Linked DNA regions of Sus scrofa. The protein of the gene in region 3 purifies or fractionates together with the protein of the main gene of each other region. This does not show direct contact. Links are inferred from orthologs where the notes say so. Each region holds a gene or a part of one and is shown on either strand. Other genes may lie near its edges.

Evidence for each region.
Region 1: the proteins of LYAR (region 3) and RRP1B purify together in Homo sapiens (co-immunoprecipitation; 3 studies listed by IntAct, with this or other methods). This does not show direct contact. The link is inferred for Sus scrofa from reciprocal best matches to the Homo sapiens genes LYAR and RRP1B.
Region 2: the proteins of LYAR (region 3) and GNL2 purify together in Homo sapiens (affinity purification with mass spectrometry; 3 studies listed by BioGRID and IntAct, with this or other methods). This does not show direct contact. The link is inferred for Sus scrofa from reciprocal best matches to the Homo sapiens genes LYAR and GNL2.
Region 4: the proteins of LYAR (region 3) and GTPBP4 purify together in Homo sapiens (co-immunoprecipitation; 3 studies listed by BioGRID and IntAct, with this or other methods). This does not show direct contact. The link is inferred for Sus scrofa from reciprocal best matches to the Homo sapiens genes LYAR and GTPBP4.
Region 5: the proteins of LYAR (region 3) and MYBBP1A purify together in Homo sapiens (affinity purification with mass spectrometry; 3 studies listed by BioGRID and IntAct, with this or other methods). This does not show direct contact. The link is inferred for Sus scrofa from reciprocal best matches to the Homo sapiens genes LYAR and MYBBP1A.

What each region holds. Positions count from the first base shown.
Region 1 is NC_010455.5:206,627,165-206,633,437, forward strand, and holds the start of RRP1B (ribosomal RNA processing protein 1 homolog B), read left to right. Parts: upstream 1-2,011; 5' UTR 2,012-2,084; coding exon 2,085-2,214; intron 2,215-6,273. Other genes in the region: HSF2BP (heat shock factor 2-binding protein), read right to left, coding at 600-635. UniProt on the Homo sapiens protein: Positively regulates DNA damage-induced apoptosis by acting as a transcriptional coactivator of proapoptotic target genes of the transcriptional activator E2F1.
Region 2 is NC_010448.4:93,624,553-93,630,154, forward strand, and holds part of GNL2 (nucleolar GTP-binding protein 2), read right to left. Parts: intron 4,771-5,602; coding exon 4,642-4,770; intron 3,161-4,641; coding exon 3,056-3,160; intron 2,255-3,055; coding exon 2,096-2,254; intron 1,795-2,095; coding exon 1,681-1,794; intron 1-1,680. UniProt on the Homo sapiens protein: GTPase that associates with pre-60S ribosomal subunits in the nucleolus and is required for their nuclear export and maturation.
Region 3 is NC_010450.4:6,083,088-6,088,689, reverse strand, and holds part of LYAR (cell growth-regulating nucleolar protein), read right to left. Parts: intron 2,226-5,602; 5' UTR 2,169-2,225; coding exon 2,047-2,168; intron 865-2,046; coding exon 750-864; intron 1-749. UniProt on the Homo sapiens protein: Plays a role in the maintenance of the appropriate processing of 47S/45S pre-rRNA to 32S/30S pre-rRNAs and their subsequent processing to produce 18S and 28S rRNAs. Also acts at the level of transcription regulation.
Region 4 is NC_010452.4:68,561,718-68,568,091, forward strand, and holds the start of GTPBP4 (nucleolar GTP-binding protein 1), read right to left. Parts: upstream 4,232-6,374; 5' UTR 4,224-4,231; coding exon 4,176-4,223; intron 1,928-4,175; coding exon 1,757-1,927; intron 851-1,756; coding exon 747-850; intron 664-746; coding exon 527-663; intron 1-526. Other genes in the region: uncharacterized protein LOC106505222, read right to left, coding at 4,232-4,480, 6,313-6,374. UniProt on the Homo sapiens protein: Involved in the biogenesis of the 60S ribosomal subunit. Acts as a TP53 repressor, preventing TP53 stabilization and cell cycle arrest.
Region 5 is NC_010454.4:50,501,820-50,507,979, forward strand, and holds the start of MYBBP1A (myb-binding protein 1A), read right to left. Parts: upstream 4,258-6,160; 5' UTR 4,209-4,257; coding exon 4,002-4,208; intron 3,784-4,001; coding exon 3,685-3,783; intron 3,032-3,684; coding exon 2,948-3,031; intron 2,860-2,947; coding exon 2,785-2,859; intron 2,684-2,784; coding exon 2,576-2,683; intron 1,017-2,575; coding exon 841-1,016; intron 725-840; coding exon 557-724; intron 433-556; coding exon 315-432; intron 1-314. Other genes in the region: GGT6 (gamma-glutamyltransferase 6), read right to left, coding at 6,089-6,160. UniProt on the Homo sapiens protein: May activate or repress transcription via interactions with sequence specific DNA-binding proteins. Repression may be mediated at least in part by histone deacetylase activity (HDAC activity).

The DNA.
Region 1 (6,273 bases), on a different chromosome or scaffold from region 3:
CGGTGATGAGCCGGCTTGGTTTCCGCTGCGCCACGACGGGACCTCCGAGCCACTTTGTCAGGGCGAGCGAGGCCCCATTCCCGAAGGCCAAGGAACACGCCGGCAGCGCTCTCCTAGGCGCCAGCACCAAGCTTCCCAGGAGGAAAGGCCCTTCCCCCTGGGCGCCAAGCCCCGGGCTGACCACCCGGCCCCGCACTCGCAACCCGCCAGGAGACGGGCCGGGAGGCTGGGATCTCCCTGAACGCAGCTCCAGGGCGCGGCCGGAGGGGAGCTCCCGCTGGGGCGGCCGATTCGCCCCGACCCGCGCCCCGCCTGCCCCGCCTGCCTCAGGGCCGTGCGGGGGGGGCCCCCGGGGGGCGGCGCAGGGGCACCGGGGCACGGCCCCCGCCCATCCCGCGGCCCCCGCGCTTCCGGAGGCGGAGCCGCCGCCCCCCACCGCCGGCCCTGGCCACGCTGCCCGCAGACGACGTCCGGGGCCTCCCCGAGCCCCCGAGCAAGGCCCAGGCAGACCCCGCTGAGCGCGGGGGAGCCGAGGGCAAGAGCGCGAACTCGCGGGCGGCGGCCCGCGCCTCGGCACCGACCCGAGCCTCGGCACTGACCCGGCGCGGCTCCTCAGCGCCGCCAGCCTCGCCCATGGCGGCGCGGTCTCGGCTCCGTGCGCCTGCGCGGGCGCGCACGCGCGGACCCCTCACGCCGGCGAGCGCGGGAACGCGTCCACGCCGGGGTCAGGTACGGGGAGCCGCGAGGCTCAGACCTCGTAGAGCTTTCGCTGCATCGCGGTCCCCACGGGCCGGGGGTGTGGAGGCGAGATCCCGCGTGGGCTCGTCCGGCTTTGGCCGAGGTCGTAACTTGTTAACTGCAAAGAAGAACAGGGAGACCCACGTGTCAGTGTCCAGTGAAATCACTCGATTCGGGTCCTTGATGTTTGGCGAGGGGTGTTATTTAGACTAAGGGGCCATGCGTTCACGCGAAGCAGCCGCCGGCGGCCCCTCTCGCGCGCTCAGCTCCAAACTCCATTCGCGAAGGTCGAAGCTTTCTGACAACAGGCTCCGCCGGCGGCGGCGGCGGTGTCTGCCCCAGATAAGGGAGCCTCAGTCCGGCCAGCAGGTTAAGGAACTGAGACGACCCCATGGACTGGGAGACATCGTTTGGTCCATTCACTAGCCCCCATATGCCCACTGAGTTCGTAACATATGGTGCAAGCTCTGGGTTCAAAGGTACCGGTTACGGGAGTTCCCGTGGTGGCTCGGTGGTTAACGAATCTGACTAGGAACCATGAGGTTGCAGGTTCGATCCCTGGCCTCGCCCAGTGGGTTAAGGATCTGGCGTGGCCGTGAGCTGTGGTGTGGGTCCAAGACGCAGCTCGACCCCGAGTTGCCATGACTGTGGTGTAGGCCGGCGGCCATAGCTCCCATTAAACCCCTAGCCGGCGAACCTCCATATGCCGTGGGTGCGACCCTGGAAAAATACAAAAACACCAAAGAAAAAAAAAGGTACCGATTATCGCACAACTAGGACTTCTGTCCAAAGCCGGACACAAGCCGACACTGTCCGAGTGCCCGGAGTACGCGCTCTCCAGGCCCGCGGGTGCACGCACCAGCACACGCACCCAGTCCTCGCCCCGGCTCCGGGCGCCCCTCCAGCGGGCTGCCCGCAACCTCCCGCCAGAACCCCGTTCCCACCGCGGCCCGAGGAGGCCAACGTAAAAACCCGGTGCCGTGTATCTCCCGGGAACAGCTGCGGGTCGGTTGGATGGAGATTTTGTGAAGTGGGCAAGATTCCAGACCACGCAAAACTGGCCCTCCGTCTCTTCCCGGCCTACACCCAGCGCTGGCTAACCTCGCCCTCAACGGCCCGAGCCTTGGCGACCGAGAGGCAGCGGCGGCGGCGGAGAGGCGCGACGCGCACCGGAGGAGCGTCGCTCCGCCGGGGCCCGGCCCGCAGCTCGCGGAACGCTCTGCGAGCGGCGAGCGGCGCCTTTGTGACGTCATCAGCCCGCGCGCCGGCGCCTTCTGCGCAGTCGCGGCACGGCGGCGGGCGCTCGGCGGCGGCGGGCTGCGGCCGGGGATGCTCCAACGGGCGCGATGGCCCCCGCCATGCAGCCGGCCGAGATCCAGTTCGCTCAACGGCTGGCGTCCCACGAGAAGGGCATCCGAGACCGGGCGGTGAAGAAGCTGCGCCAGTACATCAGCGTGAAGACACAGAGGGAGACAGGTGGGCTCCCTGCGGTCCGCCGCGCACATGGCGGCCGGGGTGGGGGAGCGGGGGTGAGGGGAGGGAGCCGCGGTGGGGGGGGGGTCCTGGCGGGAGTGGGGGGCGGGCCCGGGGAGCCGCGGGCGGAGCGGGGAGAGCGTGCGGCACAGCCGTGTGCTTCTCTGTGTCCACTTCCTGCGGGGTCTCCACCGGTTCTCCGGTTGAGCGGCGGCGGCGGAGGGGGTTAGGTGGTCCGCTGAGGGTCCCGGTGAGCCGGAAAGCCGAGAACCGTCCCAGTCTGCCCTCCCAGAGCTTGCACGTGGGATCAGTGCACTCACCTGTTTGATTCTGGTGCGCTCTTCCTTGAGTCACGCCTTCAGTTGACCAGGACGGAGAAGTCCGAATCCCTACCCCCGAGGAATTTATCCCGGGAAATCTGGCGGGGGGGGGGGGGAATAGATAACTGAAACGGAACTCGTGTAAGTGGAGTAAAGGAAATGAAAACCGAGGAACGGGGAAGCTCCTCTCCAAAGACTGTTGCAGGGAGGCCTCTCGGGGTGATGTTCTCCAGATCTGAGCCGGGGCACGAATGAGGAGCTGGAAGAGCGGTAAGTGAGAGAGAGGGAGGGTGTTAGGACGCGAGTTGGGAAAGTAGGCAGTGGCCAGGTCACAGCGGGCTCTTCAGTTTGGGTTTTAACTGCAGCGGGGTGCCATTGAGGAATCGTATTTACCCGGTCCGGTGTAAACCTTTGAAGGCATGGATTACAGTGCGGTGAAGTTTTTTATTGCACTGAGGAAAAGTCCGATTTGCTGCTAGTGTTAATACATTGAGTCTGTTTTAAAGAATGGATGTCTCCCCCTGTGCTGATCGCTCAGTTAGCCTTCTTTTGAAGGCTTCTGGGAAAAAGAAGATAAACTCTCCTGGGAAGTCCTAGGAAGAGGAACGAAGCCAGACTTCCTGACTTCAAATCTGTTAGGGTCTTCCTGACAGACTTGATTTCCTCTTATTCCATAAATGTTGTGTGTTCCTAAACCGAACTTTCTAACCCAGACCTTTGCTGCTTGCAGCTCAGATATGCCCTTCCCACCTGGCACCTCCACCTGGATGTCCTCAGGCTTCAGAATGCCCCACAGAGGCTCATCTTCTTCTGCTCTTTTATTTTGGGCACTAGTTCCCATCCTCCACTCAGACTCCAGTTGGACGCAGGGTATATGGTCCTGGACGCCTCTTCCTCTTTTTGTCCCCCAGCCCTGCATCTAGTGTCCTTTGGTCGCATCTCCTAAATTTCTCTGCCCTTACTGAAGGCTCCTCCATCTCATCGAGGCTTTGACACGCTTACCTCCTAACTGATCTAACACCTGCATGTGTGCCCCCTTAAACCCACGCTCCATGAAACAGCCTGGCGCATCTTCCTGAAACAACTGTATCACCACCTTCCTGAAGTTCTGGCCTTGCTGGTGGTGACATGTCCTCCTCTGTCCCCCACCTCAGCCCCTGTGCGGCTGCTTCACACTGGGTCCTGGGCTACCGTACACCATTCCTCCACACTCTCCCACTTTCGCCTCTGTTCACTCTGAAAAGCTCCCCCGCCCACTTGATCCACTCACAGCAGTCAGTCCAGTATCGCTTTTCTGAAATGCCTTCCCTGTCCTCTCCCCCCACTTCTCTACAAGTCTGAAGTGTCTGATATGTCCCCATTGTGGCACTTAGCTTATCTGCTGATGTGTCGTTCTTCCCCCAAAATGCCGTAAGCCTCTGTCTGCTTCCTTAGCTGGAAGCGGGAGCACATCCCGAGGTCCCAGGGCTGCCAGGGCACAAGAACAGGAACCAGATGCAGAAGCACAGGGCTGAGGCAGCCGGACAGGACCCGGTGCTCAAAGCTCTGTGGGGAACAGGCTCTGGCTCTGAAGTGCTGAGGTGCTGCGGGGGCAGGAGGCCAGGGCATGCAGCGGTGCCCAGGGTCCTGCCTGGCGAGCGCCCATCACACCTCAAGCTGCTTCCTGTTAGACACCACATCCGCAGTCTGGGGAGCCGAGTGGGCCTCGAGGAAGGTAAACGCAAAGTGCATGTCGTAGGAGCTCCCTCGCAGCTCAGCGGGTTAAGGATCCAGCGTTGTCGCTGCTGTGGCTCTCGCCACAGCTGCGGTTGGGTTCGGGCCCTGGCCAGTGAACCTCCAAGTGCCGCGGGCACAACCAAAACTAAATAAGGTTTCGTTGACGGTGATGACGGGACGAAATAAACAAGATCCGTGCCACAGCTGTGCTCCATCAGAGTAGAAACAGGTGTGGAGGTAACTTGGCCTGACCTCTGAGTCTCACTAACAGGCTTAAGTTTTTGTATTTTGTTTTAGGCACAGTAAAGGCAGTGCGAAATGGCAGTCTTACTGTCTTTTAGCAACATAGATAGCTTTGATTTTTAGAAACAAATTGGAGTTCCTGTCATGGCTCAGCGGAAGCGAATCTGAGTAGCATCCATGAGGACTTGGGGTCAATCTGTGGCCTCGCGCTCAGTGGGTTAAGGATCCAGCATTGCCTTGAGTTGTGGTGTAGGTCGCAGACACAGCTCAGATCTGGTGTTGCTTTGCCCCTAAAAGAAAAGACAAAGAATAAAAATTTTAAAAAATCAACAAGCAATTGATTTGCGGCCAGTCGAGCCGACTGCTCTTTTCTTCGTGGGGCCTGCAGACAGCAGCCGTCTTGGGAGGGTGTGCAGCCTGTTGCCTGTACGGTTGCCCTAAGGGGCCTTGGACACAGCACTTTCCAGTGGACCTTTGTGACTGACATGCTGTCCCCAACCCAGGCTTCAGACAGGTATGCGCGGTGGCCAGGTCCCCGTTGGCCCCGTCCTCACGTGCATTTCTGTGCCCGCTCTCTTGGGACCACATGGGATGATGCCCACCAGGCAGGGAGCATGGGCCTCCGCGAGGGCTTGGCCGTGGGAGGCACTTTCCATCGTACACGTTCACATAGTGTATGTTTTTTTTTTTTTTTTACAATAAAAACGTGTTCTTACTGGTTGGAACTTGATAGAGCATCCAAGCCTTGCTGGTTTTCAGGGAAAAATGGAAGCACAGCTTCACGCGGGAGCCCTATGGAGGCACACGACCCCGCTCTGCTTCCCCAGCGGTTCCGTTCTCACGGGCATCCACCTGGGTCATCTCTTCAGGTCTCCGGGGGGGGGCGGGTCTGGTCTCCCTAAGGGGGGCAAGAGGATCCTGGCCTGTGGCAGGTGACCATCTGTTCTCGCACCAGCCCTGTGGCCAGGGGACTCTGGTGCTTTGGCACAAGCCAGCTGGCCGCTCTCTCCACTCGGGTGAGCCCAGCCCAGCCCACTGCCCCATCCCGGAGGCCTGTCCTAGAGGGGGACAGAGCAGCTGCTTGGCAGAAACCAGGAAGGCCCTGGAGCTGGCCTCATGCAGGAACTGGTGTCATTTAAGCCGTCTTTGCTCTTGAGTTCGTCAGTGTTCATGCTCTTTCAGTTTCGACATGAAGAGCTTTCTGAGCAAGTTTTAAAAGAAAGAGGTGGGCGGGCAGGAGGGACAGGCCGTGCTGACATGTTGGTAATCTCACACAGTTCTTCTTTCCATCAGGGGATATTTCAGATGTGTAGAAAGTGTGCCCAGGGCCTGGTGGCAGCATTTATTCACTCCCTGGCCAGGTGGCCGTGTCGGCCTCCTCCCGCAGCTCTGTGGGACGCGAACCCCGGCACCTCGTTTCATCTCCTGCTCGGGGCGCGTCCTTGAGCAATAGGGACCCTTCTTAACATAACCGCAGCGGCGTTGCACACCTTTTTAAAATTTTCCCATAACGTGAAACATCCAGTTTGTTGAGTTGCCCTGTCCTCACGTTGGCTTTTTACGACACGTCAGAGTCCAGATGAGACCTACCCGTTGCACTGGGTCGGCGTGTCTCTAAAACTCTAACAGTCCCTCACCAGGGCTCTTTCCTTGGAGTGTGTTCGCTGGAGGAACTGGGTCGTTTGCCCCGTGGGCTCCCCGGGCGCGGGGTGTGTGGGCCACGTCCCATGGTCTCGTCTGACAGCTCCTCTGCCCCCTGTGTCTCCCTCCTGTGGGCCGATGC
Region 2 (5,602 bases), on a different chromosome or scaffold from region 3:
CATCTGAGTCATCCTGTTAGATCTATTCTGAGCCAACATACATTAAACCCTGAGCCCAGCACTGAAGGGTCAGAGGAACACAGCTGGGGTCCCAAAGAATGCACCAACCCCAAGAGTATTTCACCATCAACACCAACCAACGACACCCTGCAGGAGGCGAGATTCCCTATGTCCCCGAGGATCGCGAGGAATGGGGTTGCCAAGGAAAGCACAGCCAGGCTGAGTACACCCCACAGGCTGAGGGTAGGCACTGAGGCGGCACTGGGAAGGGAGGGTGTGAAGGAGGGGCCGTCCCGGGAGGACTGAGAATGAGCCCTGAGGTGGGAACGGGTAAGAAAGAGGCTGAGAGCTGGGGCCTCCCCTTCAGGGAAGGGTGAGCAGGCCTGGCACTGCGGCTTCACATAGGCAATATTCTCATAATATTAATATTACGAGAATATTATGAATATTCTTATAATATTAATATTACGAGAATATTATGAATATTCTTCCCCATTGTATTCTCGTAACTGAGACTCACAGAACTCAAGGAATTTTTCCCCAAGGTGGGGTGGCTGCTCAAAGCACTGAATGCATAAGGAAGCCATGAAACTCAGGAGATTGCACACACAGTTCGTGTGCGCCTTGTCATCCATTTCGCGGGCAGAAGCTGGTAGTGATAGCTTTCGGATGCTCGAGGGGGTTTCTGCCACCACCAAGAGCAAAAGGCAAGAGTCACAGAGTGGGGGAGCTAGTCACCTAACCCCAATGACTAGACACACAGCAAGAGTTAGAGAAAACTCTGCCGCTTCCACACAGCGTCACAAGGGAGCAGAGATGGGCCTCCTCAGACCCAGAGGCTTCCGCCGTCACTCGGTGCTCCCGAGCCCGCCAGGGGGCGGCCCCATGACTTCTTCTAGAACCAGACAGGTCAGACTGGCTCCACCTCAGGTGCACTGGGTCCACTGCTCCTGATGCCTGGAACACTCTCCCCTCCGCATCTATGTGGCTCCTGCCTCAGATCACTAAGGTCTCCGCTGCAAGGTCACTTCCTTCTCAGAGGCCGTCCTGACCACCCCGCTTACAAAAGCCCTCCTTTGCCCCCCATAAATCCTTCGCCCTGTCTTAGTTGCCCTCACAGCAATCGGTATTTCCTGACACTATACGCTTATTTGTTTACTACCTGTCTCCCTGCAGTATAAATAAAAATAAGTATTTGATGGCCAAAGACATGAAAAAAATGCTCAAATCACTAATTATTAGAGAAATGCAAATCAAAACTGAGGTACCACCCCATACTAGTCAGAAAGGCCATGATTAAAAATGGCCATTGTCACAAATAACAAATAAGAAATGCTGGGGAAGGTGTGGAGACAGGGACCCTCCAACACTGTGGGTGGGAATGTAACTTCGAACAGCTACTATGGAAAACAGGACCGAAGTCCCTCAGAAAACTTAGATATTCCTAAAATAGAGTTACCATATGATCCTGCAATCCCATCCCTGGGCACATATCCAGACACAACTACAATTCAAAGATGCATGCAGCCCTATGTTCAGAGCAGCACTGTTCACAGCAACCAAGACATGCAAACCTCACTGCGCGGAAAGACCTACCCCAGAGGAAGAGACGGCAGTCCAAAGACACCACACCAGGTCGGTGCCCTCGCTTTCCCAGAGGCAGGTCCACCCTGTTCTTACCTGGGGGGTGGCCGGGGGCTCAGCATTGGGCGGCTTGACAAAGAAAGGAATCCGGCCCCTCTGCCAGTCATTGAGGACCATCTTCCCCACGGTCCGCAGGTCGGGCTCTCCACCCTGAAACGTCACAGGGAGATGCCCAATTAGATCCAAACAGCATAATCAGAGTTCCCTGCGGGCCTAGTGGTTAAGGACATGGCAACGTCGCGCTGTGGAACAGGTCTGATCCCTGGCCCGGGAACTTCTGCATCCTGGCTGTCCCAGTTGTTCACCACCATCTATTGCCAAGTCCCACACTTCAAACTCCTCAAACATGCATATCAAAAAATGGTCCTTACCTCCCCCCTCCACACCCCGCCGCCCCCTGTGCCTGCGGCTCGCCACAGTCTGAATTCTCACAATTCTCAGTCTGGTTCACCTTTAATAACTTCCCTGTCCGGAAAGCCAGCTTCTCAAGAAAGTCCTCAGCATTCTCCCAAGAATCGATCTTGTACGTCTTGCTGATATATTCTGGCTTTGCTCGTTCAAGTACAGCACCAATGTGGTCTTCAGGAGTCTTAATTTTTTCAACTTGAACCTAGACATTGATGGGAAATCTCTTGCTTACAAACTTTATTATGGAAGCAGTGAAGCTCCCCAGTGTGCTCTGTAACAACATCTGAAAAGAGATTTCAACACCTCAAAGCAAGTGGGGCCTGGCAGGAGCCTGTCACCGAGGTGGCACGATGGTCGGTCGGCTGAAAGGAGCACCACAGAAAGCTGACCCCGGCACAGGACCATGAACTCAGCTCAAATCGCAGCGCACCACAACCCAACTGTGCAGCTTCCGCAAGCAGTTTCAACTTGGGGTGCTTCATGCTACTAACTCGCGGAAATGGTTGAAAGTCTGCTGGTCCCAGGACACGGAGAGAATGGCATAGTTTAAGACAGGAGGGGAGGAACGGGCACAGGATGTATAGCCAGAAGCCCCGGTTAAGGTTAAGTGGACCCATTTAAAGCGCTTGGTCGTCTTCAGAAACAAGTGAGGAAATGACTGAGTTCCAACATGACTCAACCCATAAACCCACGAAGATGAATTATCGCTAAACATAAACAGGCCCTGCTTCCCTCTGGGTCCCGTGTGTAAACTCCAAACTCTTTTGTGGGATGACATTGACCAGATATGCCCATGGTTCCACTAACTCCTCAAACAGGCTTAAGTGGAATGGAGAGGCCGCCCTGTTCAGTGTCATGTTCCTCAAGTTTGGTCAGACAGGCTGACCCCAAACTGTCTGCTGAATGAGTACAAAGCAAAGGTATCCAGCGTCTCCCACAGAATGCTCCCCCGCCCCCCGCCACCAAAGGCAAACAAAGAACCTCTGGGGACCAAAATACTCACGACTCCTTTCAGCACGATGTCCGTCTCTGAGTCCTCGGAGGGGTAGACCACACCCGGACAGTCGATGAGGAAGATCCGCCGCATCAAGGTGATATACTGCCAGACCTAAGGCGGGAAGGGTTGACGCCTGATGCGCATGAAGCTGCGGTGTGTGTGTGTACAATGCCAGACCTAAGGCAGGAAAGATGAGGCTGGCAGGGGGGTGGGTGTGGGTCAGGGAGGAGGTGTGTGTGTGTGTGTGTGTAGCAACCTGCCCAGGGAGGAGGTGTGTGTGTGTGTGTGTGTGTAGCAACCTGCCCAGGGAGGAGGTGTGTGTGTGTGTGTAGCAACCTGCCCAGGGAGGAGGTGTGTGTGTGTGTGTGTGTGTGTGTGTGTGTGTGTGTGTGTGTAGCAACCTGCCCAGGGAGGAGGTGTGTGTGTGTGTAGCAACCTGCCCAGGGAGGAGGTGTGTGTGTGTGTGTGTGTGTGTGTGTGTAGCAACCTGCCCAGGGACCAAGACCCTCTTCTATCTGTGCTATGCATGAGGCCCTTCCACAAAGCACAAACTACAGTTACTAGAAATGATGCAAAGGCAGGATCTCCACAGAGAATCATGCAATCGCGTCCAGCAAAGCTTTCTCTGATTCTGAAAAGTACTCCTGGATGTCTGACACTGCTTGGCCCCTGTTCTTTCAGCAGAACCAGGCGCTCCCCAAACACTCCATGTTCCCAGGTAGGGCCCTCAACTTGCCAAAATCCACCAGAATGCCGTTTTCTTTCTTAACCCAGGCATCAAATATCTTTGGGTTAGTTTTTTCTTTGTCTTTTGTCTTTTTTTTGTTGTTGTTATTTCTTGGGCCGCTCCCTCGGCATATGGAGGTTCCCAGGCTAGGGGTTGAATCGGAGCTGTAGCCACCAGCCTATGCCAGAGCCACAGCAACGCGGGATCCGAGCTGCGTCTGCAACCTACACCACAGCTCACGGCAACGCTGGATCGTTAACCCACTGAGCAAGGGCAGGGACCGAACCCGCAACCTCATGGTTCCTAGTCGGATTCGTTAACCACTGCGCCACGACGGGAACTCCTGGATTAGTTTTTATGTTTGTTTGTTTTTTAGGCCTGCACCAGTGGCATATGGAGGTTCCCAGGCTAGGGGTCTAATCGGAGCTACAGCTGCCGGCCTACACCACAGCCACAGCAACTCTGGATCCAAGCCTCATCTGCAACCTACACAACAGCTCACGGCAGTACTGAATCCTTAACCCACTGAGCAAGGCCAGGGATTGAACCCACAACCTCACAGTTCCTAGTCGGATTCGTTTCCACTGTGCCACGATGGGAACTCCTTTGGGTTAGTTTTGTTTATCAAAGTAAAAGGCTGGAGTGACAATCTGACATAGACTCCAATGGCACATACCACATCATGCCAAAGGCATGCCGTGGCACACAAACTACTCTTAGTCTTATCACAACGGGCAGAAACCGCTCCTAAAGGCCCAATGGTGAGCTTCATCCAGGAGAAGCAGATAGAAATCTCCACATCCTGCATGATCACCCTCCATGGAAATAAAACATGTGCAAGTAAGACCCTCGGAGCCAGATGTACCTTTGTTTCACCTGCGATGGGGGCCACGTTGCAAACTTTCTTGGAGCGCAGCGTGTTTATCACAGAGCTCTTGCCAACATTGGGATAGCCGATGAACCCCACGCTGATCTGCTTCTTGTCAGTGTGCAACTGTTCAGAAAAAAAAAAAAAAAAAACCACCTTCACGCAGCCTGACTATCCCTGGGGACAAACAGGCTGTGTTCCCTGGCTAAGATAAAGAATACAGCACAAAACTAGAGCTACAATGTGATTTAAAGCCCAGACGAGCACCACCTGCTTTGTCGGAGTGGGATGCATACATACACCCATCAATAAATCAGAGATGAGTCAGCTCCCCAGTCACTCGTGTAAAATTATTCTTGCAAGTTTTAAGGTTAAAAGAATGTAGGCTGGGAAACAGGAGGAAACAGCTTGTTAACGAGTGATTTAGAAGCACACCATCCACCGAAGAAATGTCTTCAGAGATGAGAACCTCAGCAGATCCACCAACTGGCAAGCCCGTGACCCACCCCTCCTCTTCTATGTACAACGCAATTTGCATTTTCAGGGCCAAAAATAAACAACGAAAGAAAAAAGAAAAAAAAAAGGGGGGGAGTCTCAAAAGTTAGCCTGCTAGGTGAAAGTATCACGGGGGCAGAGCTCAGGGAGGGCGCCCACAGATGGCCAGGACTTCTGACTAGAGACGGCAACTGAGCATCCACACCCGCCTCACTTTTCCACTGGATGAACAGCAGTGGGAATCAACACACGCAAACCCAGAGTGACAAACATGGGAAACCAAAGCCATGAGCTGAGACAACACAAACCAACATGTGATGAGAACAAAATCCTAAAAAGGAGTATCAAACCTGGCCCACCACAAAATCCGAAAGCTACGAGTCTGTGAAGGTGAGGAAACTAAAAAACCCAGGAGTTCTCTTGGTGGCTCAGTGGGGTGAGAGCGCAACTGGTGTCCGTGAGG
Region 3 (5,602 bases):
GGCCTTGCTCAGTGGGTTAAAGAGCCGGTGTTGCCGTGAGCTGTGGTGTAGGTCACAGACGTAGGCTTGGATCTGGCATCGCTGTGGCTGTGGTGTAGGCCGCCAGCTGCAGCTTGGATTCGACCCTAGCCTGGGAACTTCCATATGCCATGGGTTCAGCCCTAAAAAAACAAACAAACAAAAAAGAACTATCCTGAGGCATGATACACGGATGATAAATTATAGTTGATTTGCAATGTTGTGCCAACTTCTGCTGTACAGCAAAGTGATCCAGTCACACATATACATACATTCCTTTTTTCTTTTTTTTTGTCTTTTTGCCTTTTCTGGGGCCGCTCCAGCGGCATATGGAGGCTCCCAGACTAGGGGTCTAATCAGAGCTGTAGCTGCCGGCCTACGCCGGAGCCACAGTAACTCGGGATCTGAGCCGTGTCTGTGACCCACACCACAGCTCATGGCAACGCCGGATCCTTAACCCACTGAGCAAGGCCAGGGATCGAACCCGCAACCTCATGGTTCCTAGTCAGATTCGTTAACCGCTGAGCCACAATGGGAACTCAATACATTCCTTTTCTTATATCATCTTCCATCAGGGTCTATCCCAAGCGACTGGATATAGTTCCCTGTGCTATGCAGGAGGACCTCATTGCTTATCCATTCTAAATGATACATTTTTCCTCATTTCTTAGGCTTCCAAGGAAAGTAGAAGATGACAGATGAAGCTACTTGAGGCATTAGAAAGACCTTACCTGAAGCCACGCCTGCTGCTTAGCGTCGCCTTTGTGGGTTTTGCCTTCATACCCTTTGCCGCCATACTTCTGATCTTCACTTATGCATTTCACATGGTTTTTGTAGTCGTCACCCCTTAAAGTGTCAAAGTCCCACCATTAGTGATCCTCAAACCAGAGGCTCTGTCCAGCGCAAGCATGCTGCCCTTCTGCCGTGCAGCTCACCTTCCCATCTGTGCGCGGCCCGGCCCCCCATCTCTGTCACGTACCAGGCAGATAACCTCTTGGTCATACCAGTTTCCTTCCTCCCCACTGTTCCAAACCCGTCACCAAACTTGCCACCCATTTTCATATACAAAGGTGTTAAAATCACTGATAGGCAATAGGGTGGCGTTATCTTAAATGACAAAATCCGTAGGATTTCCTGGCAATATGATAGGCAATCAATACCAGTTGCAGAGTAAGTTAAAAGGGCGGTGATATCAGGTCACAAAAAAGTCCTGGATCTTGGAGTCTTGGGACAAAAGGAAACTTGGGTTCTGTCTCACACGCTCTTTCTGAAGCTCTGTGCCATCCTCTGGGAAATGCTGGGACAAGGCTGAGGCCAAAGCCCCCGACGAAAACCAACCCTGTGTTCACTTGTCTTCCCCACCCTCCGCCTACGATCAGGGATGAACAAAGACCTTAGTAGTTTCCAAACTTAAAAAAAAAAAAATCACTGCTTTACAATGAACTTAAAGGGACTCTTAGCAAACATCCCCCACGTGCCCCAGAGGCTGCCATCCCCGAATCCTCTGAAGCTGGAAGGAACCCGCACGAGAGGGAGGCGAGCCATCAGCAAATGGCCCCCCCAAACAAGAGCAAGACCTGGCCCCTCCCCAAGACCCCTCAGCCAGAGCCCCCCACGCACTCCCGGCCAACACGACCTCCAATTTTCTCGGGAGGACCTGGTCTCCTCTCTCATGATTTAATGATTGAATAAACTCATTTTCTGGTCTGCACGTCCATCTCTCGGCTGCGATCGCCACACCATGCCCTGAAACCCTGAAACCTTACTCCACGTGGTCCCCTCCCTGGATCTGGAGGGCCGCAGGGAAATGACAGCAAGTGCCACCGGCCGACCAGATCTCCAAACGAACCCGAGTCATCTCTGTAAATCACCCTTAAAAGCAAATGGTCTTGTAAGGCACTTGTAATTTTTTCCCTTCATTTCTTTCCTCAAGTTTGCCTCCACTTTTTTTTAATGCTTTGTGGGTCCAGGGCTTCCAAACTGGCCTGGACCTTGACCATGGAGCTACACGAACCCTCTGGAACTCACCAGAAGTCTTGACCGCAGTCGATGCAGGAAAGACATTCACAGTTTCTGCAAAGAGCCACATGCTTTTCCACTTGTATTTTCTTCACTGATTCACCGCATGCATTGCATGTAAAAAATACCATTTTTAGCTAAATGATTGATTAAATATTTCTTATCCAAGACAGGTTTTAAGTCTTGTTCTAGGGAAAAAAAAAATTAAAAAGGAAAAAAGGTAATTATCATTGCAATCTGAAACTTCTATTCCAAAATATATGATTCACACAGCTAACTTTTCATCGGAAAATAACACCAGAACAGAACCAAAGTTGAACAGCAATCCACATAAAACTCCACCACCACAGCAAGTAAAATTATCAACAACATGGCTAACACTTGTGTGTGTGAAGTAATTCATGCCGGGCCCTAGTCTAAGAGCTTAACAAGCACTAACCAACCAATTTAACCCTCGCAGCAACCCCTGAGGGAGGGACTACCGAGGCTCACACCTTACACGAGGTCCTGGGACTCAGAGAGGTTAAGTAACTGACCCAAGGTGGCACAGGGGCAGAACCAGGACTTACACTTTGTGGGCTGGCGCTGGAGATGAAGCATTGGGGGCGCGTCAAGTGAAATCTCCTGCCTTTTCCAGTAACTTGAAGGGCACACACGTGTCCTCTTTCTCTCTAATGCCCCGAGGTATGTGCTGCGGACTATTTCAGGCCCCCAAATACAATAAGGACACAGCAAACGGGGAGGTTTAAAAGTGGAGAAGAGGCCTAAAAATAACTGCACAAAAAGCATCCACAGAGGCCTAACAATGTCTCCACAGGTGTTAGAGCAGGACGCTCCCCTCGGTTTGACTGGACGGGCATGGCTATGGCCCCTTACTGGCTCACATCCAGGTGTCCCTAGGCCGGGCGCTGGGTCACTGGAGGGCGCCCCAAACCCAGGGCTCCCGAGCGCTGCCCCGTGGCTAAGGGGGCCCTCACATACACATAACTCCCATTCAGAAGTTTCACGGAGACAGGTGTGCTCAGCAAAACATGACTTCATCTGAAAGCATGCCAGAAGCCAGGGGACATTTCCAGGGTTACGCCATCTCCCGACCACTTTGTTCTGAAAGACGGCTGTCGTTTTGCATTGTAAGTATGGAGAACAACCGTCCGGCCCAGCACTTGCTTCCCCACCACGAAGGTCAGGATCAAGTAAACTGATACAGTATAACCTGTCTCAGGCTAGGACTTCATCTGTGGATGCTTCAGCACGAATGAGTTGGTGGAGAATTCTCCTGCGTGAATTCACCATCTCCCCCACCCCCCTCCCCGGCTCTGAGGCTCTGCCGCAGAGGGCACAGTGCAGCAAGGATCAGGGCTGTTTCCACGCACTCCGCCTTGAATGGAAATGTACCTCCTTGGCTGCAGCTGCAGGGTGAAAGAAGACCCGCCCTGGGGGTCTCTCCTGGAGGCCTCTTGCACCCAGGGGCCCTGCTGGAGGGCAGTTTACCTGGAAAAACTTTGTTTTACATACAAAACTCAGGCCCCTGACCCCAGGACCCCTTCCTCTGCTCACCATGGGTAGGTTAGCAGGAGAGGACACGTGATCAGCTACAGCCTAGCAGGGAATCCAGAGGAAAGCAAACCTGGCTGTTCTGGGAGCCACACGGACAAGACCACAGGCTGCAGTCACCGGCCTAGGCCACAGCCACGCCAGATGCAAGCCAAGTCTACTACGACCTACACCACAGCTCACAGCAACGCTGGATCCTTAACCCACTGAGCCAGGCCAGGGATCAAACCTACATCCCCATGGATACTAGACGGATTCTTAACCCGCTGGGCCACAACTGAGCCAGGACGGGAACTGATGGGGGCGGTTACCAGCAGGCGTCAGGAGCAGCCAGCGCCCCCTCAAGGAGAACAAAGGACAGAAGACGAGCCCACACCGCAACGGTGAAGGAACCAGCCGCTAGGGGCACTGTGGCCTAAGCAGGAGCGTAAACCATCAGTCACCAAGAAATGGACTGTCACTGTACACACAAGGCAGAAGCAGCTGCAAAGATGAGCCAAATTGTCTGCTGCAAAACTTAAAATGTACTTCCATAACGAGGTTCCACAATGAAAAAAATACCTGTCAAATGGAAGCTATGGCCTAGAGCTTTCCAACCCTCATTTCTGGGTCTATTCTGTGTCTTGATGGAGGGGAGAGGGGACAGGAGGAAGGCAAGCGTTGAGATGCCGAAGGGAGCTGCAGTCTGCGATGGAAGGTCGGGGGGACAAGCTGGAAACTACGTCTATCAACTGAAAGAAGCCAGAGATGTTGACCGAAAAGATGCCCGGAATATGTGAGAAACACGTTTTCCTCTGGGGATTAGCCACACGCGGTCACATCCGTGGGAAGAACACCTCTCCCTCCAACCCTCTCACTTGGTCTTTTGTGGCAGATGTTCACATTTAGAAATCTGTTGGTTTATTTTTTTAAGGTAGAATGGGTGGCTCGCAGAGAGTCAGAGCCCAGTCTCACAGTGCCTTCCTCTGGATTCTCGGAGCCAGGGCTGCGTTTTTATACTTGATCTCGAAGAGGGGCAGGGTGGCCTCCCGCCCGCCCGCTAAGAAGATCAGGTCTGTCAGGAGCTTATCCAGCCCAGGGGGGGAAATACTTGAGTCTGTGGTGGGAGGGAGGGGCTATAAACTAGAGCCAGCTCAAACCCACCCTAAGGGCACAGTAGACAGGGTGTGGCAAGTCTTGGGGCAGGCTTAACGATTTCAGAAGTGGAAAGGCTACACAATTACAAAGCAATCCCTCCAATTGAAGACTGCTGGCATTGCCTAAAACCAAAGACTCAACTCATTCAAAGGACTAAATAAATGTGGGATGAATTTAATCAAACGTTCAATGATGATGTTTCTTGATAAATGCGTATTTGTTAGAAAAGCTGGAAAGATGCGGCATTAAGACGTTTGAGAACCCTGTCTCCTGGGCTCGGGTGTCTTATATGTCTTGACCTTTCATTTAAAAACACTAGCACCCTAAGTCTTTATCCTAGGGCCAGGCCACCCTGGGCAAGGAGACCACACGTGTTACAGCAAAGGATGGCAGCTACTGGACAGCAGTACTGAGCTGACGGGCAGCAGACAGCATCAGTGTGCGGCTGGGAGCTTGCAAAGCAATCCGGGCCCCTCAATCTCCTCTCATCGAGATGGTGGCCACATTCTGCTGACCTGGGCCTGGGCCAGAGGACCTGAGCTGAAGCCCACATCTGCCCATTAAAAATGAAACGACTTCAAGCTACCCAGACTTTGCAGAATCTGTTTATCTGAAAATGGGTCTCATGTCTATCTTAAGAGCCTGGTGTGGAAAAGTTAAATATCAGATGCGAAGGATTCCTCCTTACCCAGTGGTAGAATTTCTTGTGATCTATTAATGTGCCCATCACTGACATTGCTCCCAGTCCCCTCCAAACTCATGCTTCTTTAAATATGACCCTCAACCCACCCATTTATCTTCATAAACTCACTCCAGTCTCCTCTGGCTCCCCACCCCATGGAGGCCTCACTAGGACTCTGTTCCCTAATCACAG
Region 4 (6,374 bases), on a different chromosome or scaffold from region 3:
TGCTAAAACAAAAACAAACATTTTTATTTTAATTTTTTTGGGTCTTTTTTGCCATTTCTAGGGCCACTCCCGTGGCATAAGGAGATTCCCAGGCTAGGGGTCGAATCAGAGCTATAGCCGCCGGCCTACGCCAGAGCCACAGCAACGCAGGATCCGAGCCGTGTGTGCAACCTGCACCACAGCTCATGGCAACGCCAGGTCCTTAACCCGCTGAGCAAGGCCAGAGATCGAACCCACAACTTCATGGTTCCTAGTTGGATTCATTAACCACTGAGCCACGACGGGAACTCCAAAAATAAACATTTTTAAAATAATTTCTCAGAGTTCCCTGGTGGCCTAATGGTTAAGGATCCAGCATAGTCACTGCTATGGCTCAGGTCATGGCTGTGGCACAGGTTAGGCCCCCAGCCTGGGAATTTCTGTATGCTGTGGGTACAGCAAAAAAAATAAAAAATAACTTTTTGCCAAGTATCAAATACCCGAAAAGGATGCACTAAAACCCTTTTTGCTGGTGTCCATCAAGTACCTTGTTCCAAATACTCCAAACTCTGCTTCTGTCTTTTGATAATAGTGCACATTCGCCCGAGGGCAGCGCGCTTCAGCTGCTTGCAGCGGTACAGAGAATCACCGTATTTCATGAGCCGCACATAATCTTTAGCAACACTGAAAGAAAGAGGAAGAAATACATAAGATTTTTTCATTTTTGACAGTAATTTAAAAGCTACTGTATAAAAAAAAAATCTTACTTGTCCACTAAATTTTTGGCAATGTTTATCTGTCCTAGAGCCAATTTGTAATGATCCTTGTCATACAGAATGTTCATCAGATCAGCATAAAATGGATGAATATCCTACAAAGAAAAACAAAGCGGTCATTTTGGCACAGGAGTGTCTCATTCCTATGTGTGAAAAATACTTGAAGGAATTCCCACTGCAGCACCTCACTGCAGGAGTGGCTCAGTGGGCTCGTCCTGACTAGTATCCATGAGGATGTGGATTTGATCCCTGGCCTCGCTCAGTGGGTTAAGGATCCCCCATGGCCGTGAGCTGTGGTGTAGGTCGCAGACGCAGTTTCAATCTGGCGTTGCCGTGGCTGTGGCGCAGTCCGGCAGCTGCAGCTCAGATTTGATCTCTCCCCTGGGAACTTCCACATGCCTCAGGAAAAAAAAAAAAAAAAATCTATCCCCAGCCCAGCACAGTAGGTTAAAGACCTGGCATGGCTGCAGCTGTGGCACAGGTCTCAGCTGTGGTTCAGATTCAATCCTGGCCCAGGAATGTCTACATGCCACGGGTGCAACCATGAATTTTTTTTTTGAAAAAAGAAAGCACACTGGCTGCCATTAGGTGATGAAGCAACAAGATCACAAATGCTGGTGAGCCTCAGGCCACTGTCCCAACTTGAGGCCACAGGAAAAGGAGCCTTGGAAAAAGGGGGCAGGGGAAGCAGACAAGCCAGTGAGACCACAGCACTGCGGGCTTTGGGCCCATAGCTTTTAGAGAGCTCAGCCGAACCCCATAAACTCAGAGGTTACAAAGCCTTGAGACCAGGCTCTGGGCCTCAGATGGAGTTAGACGGGGAACCAAAGGACCTGTGTTCAGTTCCGAGGTCTGCCACTAACTCAGCAGGTGAACTCCTCCGACAGATCCATCGTTTCCTCCTTCCTTTGTTATCTGTCAAATGAGCACCCAGCCTGGTTTAATCCTGACAGTCTGAGGGTTCACATTTACATAATCGCTTATGACCCTCGGTCACGTACATCCAATTTGGGGAAATCCGTCAGAATCTGCGAGAGTCTGTCATGGTAATTCTGCTGAGTAAACTTGACTTTCCTCATATAAAAATGTCTGATGCGATGGATCTGGTAATGTTTATGAATAACCGTTGGAGTCTTTCGTTGAGTCTTCGACAATGTCAGGTCAATAAAGTCCTGCAATTAAATAAAGTAAGACACAGTTACACCAAAAAGTCTACTTTCATCCACTTACGTGAAACTGTCCTAAAAGATTAAAATTTAATGATGCTGTATGTTTCATTTTATTTTTTTTGGTTTTTTTTTTTTTTGTCTTTTTACCTTTTCTAGGGCTGCTCCCGCAGCATATGGAGATTCCCAGGCTAGGGGTCGAATCGGAGCCGTAGCTACCGGCCTACACCAGAGCCATAGCAACGCAGGATTCGAGCTGCGTCTTCGACCTACACCGAAGCTCAGGGCAACGCTGGATCCTTAACCCACTGAGCAAGGCCAGGGATCTAACCCGCAACCTCATGGTTCCTAGTAGGATTTGTTAACCACTGCGCCACAACAGGAACTCCTATTTTTTGGTCTTTTCGTCTTTTTAGGGTCACACCCGTGGCATACGGAGGTTCCCAGGCTAGGGGTCTAATTGGAGCTGTAGCCACTGGCCTACACCACAGCAATGCCAGATCCGAGCCCCATCTGCAACTTATATCATAGCTCACAGCAATGCCAGATCCTTAACCCACTGAGCGAGGCCAGGAATCAAACCTGCAACCTCATGGTTCCTAGTTGGATTCGTTTCTGCTGCGCCACGATGGGAACTCCATAATAATACTATATATTTTAAATCACAAACCATTTTCCCAACTAAATTTTCAACATAAAACCTTGCTGATCTTCATAGTTCCTGGTCTTTAAGAAACAGTCAGCAAACAGCTGCTAAAATAAATTTTATCCCATGCTTACCTGACATTATCCTAATTTCCAAATACCTAAGAACCCCTGAAACTTTAAGTAGCCAAACTACTCAAGCATAAATCAGAAAAAATATCTTAAAATAATTGAGATCAATGAGAGAAATAGAGTGACAAATACATAAGATCAATAATATGTGGAATCTAATAAAAATGATACAAGAGAACTTACAAAACAAAAACAGACTCAAAGATGTCAAAGCCAAAATTATGTTTACCAAAGGGGAAAGGTGGGGGGAAGGGATAAATTGGGGGTTGGAACCGATATATACACATTACTACGTCCGTGGCATATGGAGGTTCCCAGGTTAGGGGTTGAATCGGAGCTGCAGCTGATGGACTACACCACAGCCACAGCAACGCCAGATCCGAGCCCCATCTGCAACCTACACCACAGCTCATGGCAGTGCTGGATCCCTGACCCAGCTCTAGGAGTTTATTAGGAGTTCCTGTTGTGGCACAGCGGAAGTGAATCCGACTAGAATCCATGAGGATTCTGGTTCAATCCCTGGCCTTGCTCAGTGGGTTAAGGATCTGGCGTTGCCCTGAGCTGTTGTGTAGGGCAGCAGCTACAGCTCTGATTCATCCCCTTGCCTGTGAACTTCCACTGGCCACAGGTGTGGCCCTAAAAAGCAAAAAAAAAAAACAAAAAACAAAAAAAAACAAAAAACAAACCACAAGGAATATAATAGCTGAATAAGACATGATAGCTGGTCTCAAATACTTCATGACCAATGGGAAAAAAATATTTAAGTGAATGGTTAGAATGCAATTTTATAAACACCGACTGAATCTACTAATGAAAGCCAAAAAAAGTGGGTGATGTATAGTGAGCTGGACTTTCGCTCTACAATTTTAAGTATCTCAAGTTTTAGAGGAACTATTTTTTTTTTTGTAATCCTAACCATAAAGAGAACTTTAAAATAAAATGAAATTAAAAGGCGAAACTTTCTTTTAAAAAGAGAAACAGTTCTATTTCAACTTGCACACCTTTGGCTTTGAAAGTGCATAAGATAAACAGGTAAAACCAAAAGCCACTATTTATTTCCTAAGGGATGTAAGGTGATTACTGACAGACACGAGCAGACAAATTCCTGCAATAATGTCAGGAGCACCGGGAGGGACCTCCACCCCTCCTCCACCTGGCTGTCTACGAATCCTTAGGGACCAGTTCAAAAGCTACAGGCTCCATTGACGTTCTCCCTGACTCTCCGTCTTCTCTGGAGGAACCCTAAGGTCTGATGGAGGACCCTAACCCCCAGGGGGCCCAAACCTCTGGGGAAGGACCCCCACCTCTGGCGGGACCCTAACCTGGGGGCCCTAATTCCGAGAGAACACGGCCTAAGAAGGGGGCCTGGGTGGGGGGGGAAGTCGACCTCTCTCTGTTCAGCATTACAGACCGCCCGCCCCACTTTCCCGCGCCCCGGCCAAGAAAGGCGAGGGCAGAAGACCCCAGGGCCGCCTACCTTCGCGGACGGCACCACCGTAATCTTCTTGAAGTTGTAATGCGCCATGCCTGCGACTAGCCACGAGGGACAGCGGTCCGGACTTCCGCCAGGGTGGGCGGCGAGGGCGGGACTTCCGCCCGGGCGGACGGGACTTCCGCCGGCTGCGCGTCACTTCCGGGCTCCCCCTGTGCCGACGGATGGTCTCGCCGTTGCTCGGCGCCCCCTCCCGGCCGGAGGAGGGTCGCGGGGCCGGGGGACTGAGGGAGCGCGGGAGGCGGGGCACGTTCGGTGGGGAGAGGCGGCGCCGAAGCTCCTTCCTGCCGCTAAAGGAGCGGGTCCTGAGAGGCCTCCCTGGAGGCCCGGCGGCTGTTGGGCTCAAGGCCCGGCCGCGAGCCCTGTCTGGCCCGGCTCGGGGGGTCCCGGGGGTCCCGGGAGCCTGCGAGTGTCGAGGGGGTGGTCAGAGGTGTTTGGAAGGCTCGGGGGACCCCGGGAGCCTTAGGGGGCCCAGGGTCTCGGAACTCAGGGTCCCGGGGGTCTCGGGGTCGGGGTGACGGCCGCTGGCGGGGTGAGCGGAAGGCAGGGGGCGCGCGGGTCTGCGCTTTGAGCGCTCCTGCCGCCGGTCCCCTTGTCAGCGCGACTGATGGGCGCGGGCGGAGTCGGCTGCGGAGGAGGGACGCGTCGCCCCGCGCGTCTGGGTCCGCGCTCGCGACCCCACCCCGGCCGGCGCTACCTGCCAGCCTGAATCGGGAGTGGCCTGGGGCTGCGGTCCTCCGACGTGCCTCCCAGCCAGCGGCCCTGAGCTTCCGACGGCAAGCCCCACGGCTGAAAACTGCTGCAGCGACACGGGGGCCGGGGCCGCTCACCCCCACAACCCCCACCCCCCCCATCCCACCCCCGTGCTGCTCTCGCTCGGCGGGCTGGGGGCGCTCTCTGCCGCCACCTAGGTTGGCAGTGCCACCGTGACTGGGGACGCGCGCAGGTCCGCCCGCCGGGGGTCTGCCTGTGTGTGTTTGCTGAAGTGGCTGCTCGGGGGTCTGCCTGTGTGTGTTTGCTGAAGTGGCTGCTCATGAAGAGCACCCACCGAAGGGCAAAGAGGTGAAAGGTTCGAGGTTGCGGTTCTCCTTCAACGAGACACCGGACACTCGGGAGAAGAGGAATCACCCTAATGCCGTGATGTGGCGTCTGAGCCTGGGCTGCTGGAGCTGAACACCACCGACGGGGCGGCTGAAACCACTGTGGTCGCTCCTCCCAGCTCTGGAGCCTGGAAGTCCACGTTCAGGGTGCCGGCAGGGCCGCCCTCTGCTGAGGGCCCTTTTCCAGGCTCGCAGACAGTGCCTTCTTGCTGTGCGGTGGGAGGGAGCCTCTCCTTCAAAGGTCCGAGGCTCCACTTTCTTCCTCTTCTTTTTTTTTGTCTTTTTGCTGTTTCTTGGGCCGCTCCTTCGGCACATGGAGGTTCCCAGGTTAGGGGTCGAATCGGAGCTGCAGCCACCAGCCTAGGCCAGAGCCACAGCAACGCGGGATCCGAGCCGCGTCTGCGACCTACACCACAGCTCACGGCAACGCCGGATCCTTAACCCACTGAGCAAGGGCAGGGATCGAACCCGCAACCTCATGGTTCCCAGTCGGATTCGTTAACCACTGCGCCACGACCGGAGCTCCGGTGTTTGTTTGCTTGTCTAGGAACCTGAGGTTTGCTGAAGATCCTCAGGCTCTTTTCTAAGAGCCAACACAAGGTGATAACAAAAGTTTTGGAATCTGTGTACTTATGCTCACATGATTAATTTCCAAATGATTCTAACCATCGACAGGCAGAATCTCTTGAGATGAACATTCTGCGCGACACCCAGAGACTCACAAGCTCCATGTCGAACAGACGCCTGAGCTCTCGGGGTTAAAGAAAGCAGGCTGAGCTGCCCACCTTCAGGGTGAAAAAGGCAAGAACCTAGGTTCTGAGGACAGGATGTTGTTGGCACAAGTCAACTACTGGCTGTGACGCTCCGCATGAGGAAAGCATGAGGTTCTAGCAAAATCTCAGTTTCCCAAAGAGTGGACATTTAAAGCGTCTGTGCCAGCCTGACACTGACTCGTGCAGCAAGAGCAAGCTACGTGACCTCACCACTCTTCGCTCCGAGTTACAAACATAATATTTACTTACCAGTCTGTGTGCTGCGGTGACAAACAGTACCCGGGTCTCAGCATCGTGTTGTTCTCTGGTGA
Region 5 (6,160 bases), on a different chromosome or scaffold from region 3:
AACCACCACTGGATTCTCCTGTCGGGCACTGAGAGGAGCGTGGGCCGCACTCAGCTGAGAGGATGCTCAGGACAGATGGGTGACGATGAGGCTCCTGAGTGGGACACCAGCTGGGGGTGGAGGGAGGGCTGGGCAGACTGCTGACCTTGCTCACACTTGGTCCAGAGGGCAAGACAGGGGAGGGGACCTTGGGTCGCTCACTTTACCCGGAGGGGAAGGGCGCCCTGGTCCCAGGCTCCTTCCCACCCCGGGCAGGACCACCGATGTCAAGGGCAACCTGCCCCCTTCCAGCAGGGCCAGGGGTGAGCACCCACCTTGGCCGTGACCATGTGTTCCCCGTAATGTCGGATCAGGTCCCCCCGCATCACCAGCTGCAGCTGCTCCTTGGACAGCAGCGGCAGGGCTGCGCCCAGCAGGCGGAAACACAGGTAGCTAAGGGGGCACAGGAAAGCCCGGTCAGAGCCCTCGGGCGCCCCAGGGGGGACCTCAGATGCCAGCCCGCCCTCGCTTAGCGAGCAGCGGCAAGGCGACGGAGCGAGGCCAAGCGCCCACACACCTGGCTGGCCAGAACTGCTTCTTCAGCAGCCCCTGCTCCACCACCTCTTTCCAGAACCATGGGAACTTGTCCTCCTGGAGCGCCAGGCGGAGCAGGTCCAGAGCCACGGCGGGCAGCTTGCGCTCCTTCTTCACAGAGGTGGCCGCCATCTTCAGCACAGTCACCAGCCTGTGGAAGATGGCAGAGGGAACTCAGGGCCAGGCTCCCGGGGCCGTGGGGACAGCCTCCCCCCAGGCGGTGGCACGAAGCCAAGCTGGAGGGCCCACCCGCCAGCTCCCTCGCACCTGGGGATGTTCTCATCTGAGAACAGGTTGACCGGTCCCATCAGCTTCTCCAGCTTCTTGGGCACCTTCTGCTGGGCCAAGAGGAACAGCTCCAGGTGCTCAGGGGAGCCGAGAACTGAACTCAGCTCGGTCTTGAGGACCTTCGGCAGCACCTCCTGCAACACGGCCTCAGGGACCTGGTGTGGGGGGGACTGGTTGAGGGAGAGGGGCTCCCTCATGGCACCCTTGGTCCCTCCCCCTGCAGGGAGAGCCCTTTGGGTCCCATTCCACCTGCCCAGCTCCCACAAGGCCCCTGGTACAGTGCCAGCCCAAGGAGGAACAGTCACAACTACCTATCAGACACCATGACCAGAGGGTATCTGTTAAAAAAGCTCAAATCCCCAAGCCCCAGAAGCTAGGTTTAAACGAGCTCCTCTCTGGCGCTCACTGGCCCAGGTGTGCCCTTTTGATCATTCCTCTTTTGAGTCTTTCAGGATTAGCCTCTTCCTTTTCTTCCCTCCTTCCTTTCTCCCTGGCTGCGGCATACAGCGGCTTGGTGCAGGATCTTTGTGAAAGCACCAAGTCCTAACCACTAAACCACCAGGGAACTCCCAGGACCAGCTTGCTTCTTATACAAGGAGCTCCAAGTGAAGAGTTGGGATTCGAACTCCGGGTCCTTCTGGCTCTGTGGCTGGGGCTGTAAAGAAAGCCTTGGCCTGGGACGTGCCAGTCCCTGCCTCTTCCCCAACAGCAAAGGATTCTAGGTCCTAGTCCGCCTCCATTTCCCAAGCAGAGTGGTGGGGACCCCCCGAAGGGGCCAGCTCCGACCCAGACAATAATGGCCAACAGGTTTCACCCTCTTGCTACCCAATATGGCAGCCACTGGCCCCACATGGACACAGCACTTAGAATTCGCTATTCTGAATGGACACGTGCTGTCAGTGTAAAATGCATACCGGGTTTTGGAGACTTAACATGAGAGGAACCATAAAATACCTCTACAGCTTTTTTCTTTTTTTAAGGGCTGTTCCCGGGCCAGGGGTCAAAATGGAGCTGCAGCTACTGGCCTATAGATCTTTTTCGAAAAAAATTTTATGGCCGCCATCTGTGTGTGGCATATGGAAGTTCCCATGCCAGGGATTGAAACCGAGCCACAGCTGTGGCAAGCCAGGTCTTTTAATCCACTGCACCGGGCTGGGGAACAAACCTGCACCTCCGCAGGAACTCGAGCTGCTACAGCCAGATTCTTAATCCTCTGTGCCATGGTGGGAACTCCTCAACTACCTCCGTACCTTTTTTTTTTTTTTTGTCCTTTGTATTTTTAGGGCCACACCCGCAGCATATGGAGATTCCCAGGCTCGGGGTCTAATTGGAGCTACACCTGCCAGCCTACACCACAACTCACAGCAATGCCGGATCCTTAACCCACTGAGCAAGGCCAGGGACCAAACCTGCACCCTCATGGTTCCTAGTTGGATTCATTTCCACTGAGCCAGGACACTGGAACGACTCCTCTGTAACTTTTTATACCGATTACAGACTAAAGTGATACTGCAGATATACTAGGTTAAATAAAACATGCTACTCAACTATACTTGTTTCTTTTTACTTTTTAAACTTAGTTACTACAAAGTGTCACAGTGCACATTTATGTATCTGTGGACAGTCCTGCTTCCAGGCATTAACTTGAGTCTTCCCCACGTTCTGGAACAGGCTGCGCTATCAATCAGAGGCCCCAAAGCTGGTGAGCCAGTACCTCAGAAAGGATGTCCACCAGGGCCTTCTGGGGCTGCTCCTGCAGGTGGTTGTAGTGCTGAGCCAGGACTTGCAGCAGCTTCACCGACTTCATCAGCACCTCCGAGTCCTGGGACCCCCCCAGAAGGGGACAGGGTGTCAACAGGGCTCTGCCACTCCTCCAACTCCCAAGCTAGTCCACACGCGCCCTGGGATCCCCAAGGCTCTTACCTTCACCAGCCTGCCTGACTGAAAGAGGGCTAGCACCCCAAACAGGTTTGCAAAGAGAGCTGGTCTCATCATCCCCTGGAAAAGGATTCCAGGCACTGGTGAGAAGGGCCCAAGCGCTCCCCACCCCGGGGCTGCCGACTTCCCTGGGGCCACTAATTCTCACCTTCTTCACCTTCTGCAGGTTATACTTCTCCTGTATCTGCTGCAAGATGCTGCAGAGAGGGATGTCTTCAAAAGACTGTAACAGCTGCCAGGAGGAAGAGAGGGGCTCAGGGGAGCGGCCCAGCCACATCCCTCAGACCTCAACCTCCTCCCACTTCTCCCTTCAACTTCTGCCCAGAGTCCATGGGCCCCTGCTCCCATCCAAAGGACGCCTCAAAAGCTGCCTACGCCCCACCCCATGCTGGGCAGTGCTGACGATGGAACACTGCAGTGAATGGAGAGAAATCTTGCCTCCCTGTTTCAGAAAGTACTTCCTTTAGCCCCTGGACTGTGCCCCGAGATCCCCGAGACATTCTGCCCCAGAGCCTGCTGAGCTCCCCCCAGGCTGATCCACAAGGACTGGGTGGCCTATAATTAGCCAAGTGGGGGGGGCGGACCCTGAACCCTAAAAAGGTAAGTGAACCCACTCCAAAGCTTACTGCCCACAGTAAATGTACCTTGGTGGTTGGTGAACCCATGTACTCAAAAGCAAACTCACCCTCCCACTCCACCTGCCTGGGCGTCTCTGCAGAAAGATCTTGCTCACACACTCTCTCCACGTCCACGTGGGGACACCCTCCATTAGCTCCGACGCCACCCCAACAACCTCTCAGCAGCCACTTCCCCCGTATCTGCCCTCCTCACTCCCCACCGCTCCGAGTAGGATGGCTGGCCTCCTCCAGGGAGCCACCACCTCACCTGTGCTAGGGCCAGACTGTAGCAGGGCCGGGCTGTTTCACGTCCGACCCCGAGCCCGGTGATTAGGCGCTTCAGGGCGTACTTCATCTCGGACGATCCCTGAGGAACCAAGCACATCCCCAGGTGCACCAGGGAAAAGACGCGTCAGGCACCCGCCCATCCTCGCGCTTCGGCGCGCATTCGCCTCGGCCTCCAGGTTCGCGACTCCATGACCCCAGTCCCGAGTCCTGGGGCCCGCCGCCATATTTTTGCCGGGATCTACGCAGCTTCCTGCCCCCAAGCCCCGCAGATTCCTGCCCCAGGCCCCGCCACCACACCTTTGGCCTTGCGCGCAGATACTCCAGCAGCTTCTCCGTGGCCTCAAGCCGCGTCTCCTGCTGCGGCTTCGCAATGTCCCAGAAGAAGTCCAAGAACTCGCGGCTGTGCTTCAGCAGACCATGACGGTCGGCAGGCCCGGCGCCCGTCTTCGGGACCTCCACCGGAGACACAGGCTCAGCGACGTCCATACTCTCCGTCTCCGCCATGCTCGTGGAACACGTGGGACCTGAAGACTGCCTCTTCCGGGTCAGGTCGCGGCGCGTGCGCACTGGGTTGGGTCGGCTGGGGGCGGAGCCGGTTGGGGGCGGGGGAAAGGGCGGGGCCGGGCCGGGCCGGGGGCGGCTGGGCCCTTCCGCGCTCACTCAGGGAGCTCAGGAGTTTGGATTTTATTCTGATTGTAATAGGAAGTCATTGGAGGGTTTTATGCAGGGACAAGTCTTGATCCTATCCATACTTTTAGCAGACTAGTCTTCTTTGTGTGGGGGATGGATTGCAGGAGAGCAGGGGTGGAAGCAGGAAGACCAGTTGCACAGTGGTGGATTGGACCAAGGTAATATGAGAAAATTCCAGCTAATTTGGAGCTGGTAGAAGGTGATGAAAAAGAGAAGGATGATAGGTTTGGGGCCAAAATAAGTGGGTAGATTGTGAGAGTTCCCCTTGTAGCTCAGTGGCTTAAGAATCTGACTAATATCCGTGAGGATGCAGGTTTGGTCCCTGGCCTCATCCAATGGGTTAAGGATCTGGTGTTGCCGAAAGCGGAGGCTTTAAGTCACAGACACATCTTGGATCTGACGTTGCTGTGGCTGTGATGTAGACCGGCAGCTGCAGCTCCCTCCGATTTGACCCCTGTCCTGGGAACTTCCATATTCTGGAGGTGTGGCCCCTAAAAAAAGAAAAACAAAGAAAGTGGGTAGACTGTGATATCATTTACTGAGCTGGGGGAACTAGTGTTTGTGGGGGGAGCAAGGAGGGAGAGGTGGTGGGATCAAAAGTCCTCTTAGATCAGAGATACCGTTTACAGTGCAGGAGAGGAGAGCTACTGGCCACCCCTATTTCTTGGCTTGACAAGCTGTCTCTAGAGGGTTATAGTTCAGAGAGACCCCAGCCCTTAGGGAGGCAGGGAGGGGAGGGCCTTGGCTACCCAGATCCGGCCCCTTTTGTGGCCCCCGGGGCACCTCCTACTCACCCTCTCAACCCCTCCCTCTGCTGTCTGTTTCAGAAAATGTGAATAAGCAGTTGGGAGTTTCCTTTGTGGTGCTAGCGGTTAACGAATCTGACTAGGAACCATGAGGTTGCAGGTTCGATCCCTGGCCTTGCTCGGTGGGTTGGGGATCCGGTGTTGCCGTGAGCTGTGGTGTAGGTTGCAGACGCTGCTCGGATCCCACGTTGCTGTGGCTCTGGCGTAGGCCGGCAGCTGCAGCTCCGATTTGACCTCTAGCCTGGGAACGTCCATATGCTGCGGGAGCAGCCCTAGAAAAGGCAAAAAGACAAAAAGAAAAAAAAGAAAATGTGAATAAGCAGTTTACTTTGTACACATGGTGCCTCAGGAGGCAGAAGGTAAGCAGAACAGGGGGGGAGCAAAAAATCACCAGGCACCAGCTCTGCATCTGTGGGCGAAGCCTGGACCACAGGCACCTCAAAAGCTGATGTGAAATTAACCAAGCAGCAGGAAGGGCACATGAGAGCCAGGAGACTTGATCTTTATTTTGTTCCCAGCCCTCTCGAGGGAGATTAGCAGCTGTGGCCTGAAGGGGAGAATGGACATGCCAGCAATGCCCAGGCTCTGTCTGCTCTGCCCAGGGGCTCAGAGCCCAGGCTGGGGGCATGGGGGCATTGGGGCATGGCATTCTCCCACCTGTCCTACCCAGACTGGATCCAAACGCTAGCCCTGGTATTCGTTCCTCATCGTCCTTAGGCTCCGTAGCTGATAAAAGATTTGGAACTCGAGTCCAGGCAACTGACCAGGTCCTGAGCCATCAGTGAGTGCACACGCCATGCATGCTCTTTATGCACACCATCGCTGCTGGGCCTGCTCTGCCCCTGCCTCCAGGTTGGAGACTCCCACCTGCCCAACACTGCCCCCTCCTTAAAACCCCTGGAAGGGGCAGCAGCCCCCGGGGACACTGGAGACATGGGAGTGCTCTGAGTGGGCTGCCAC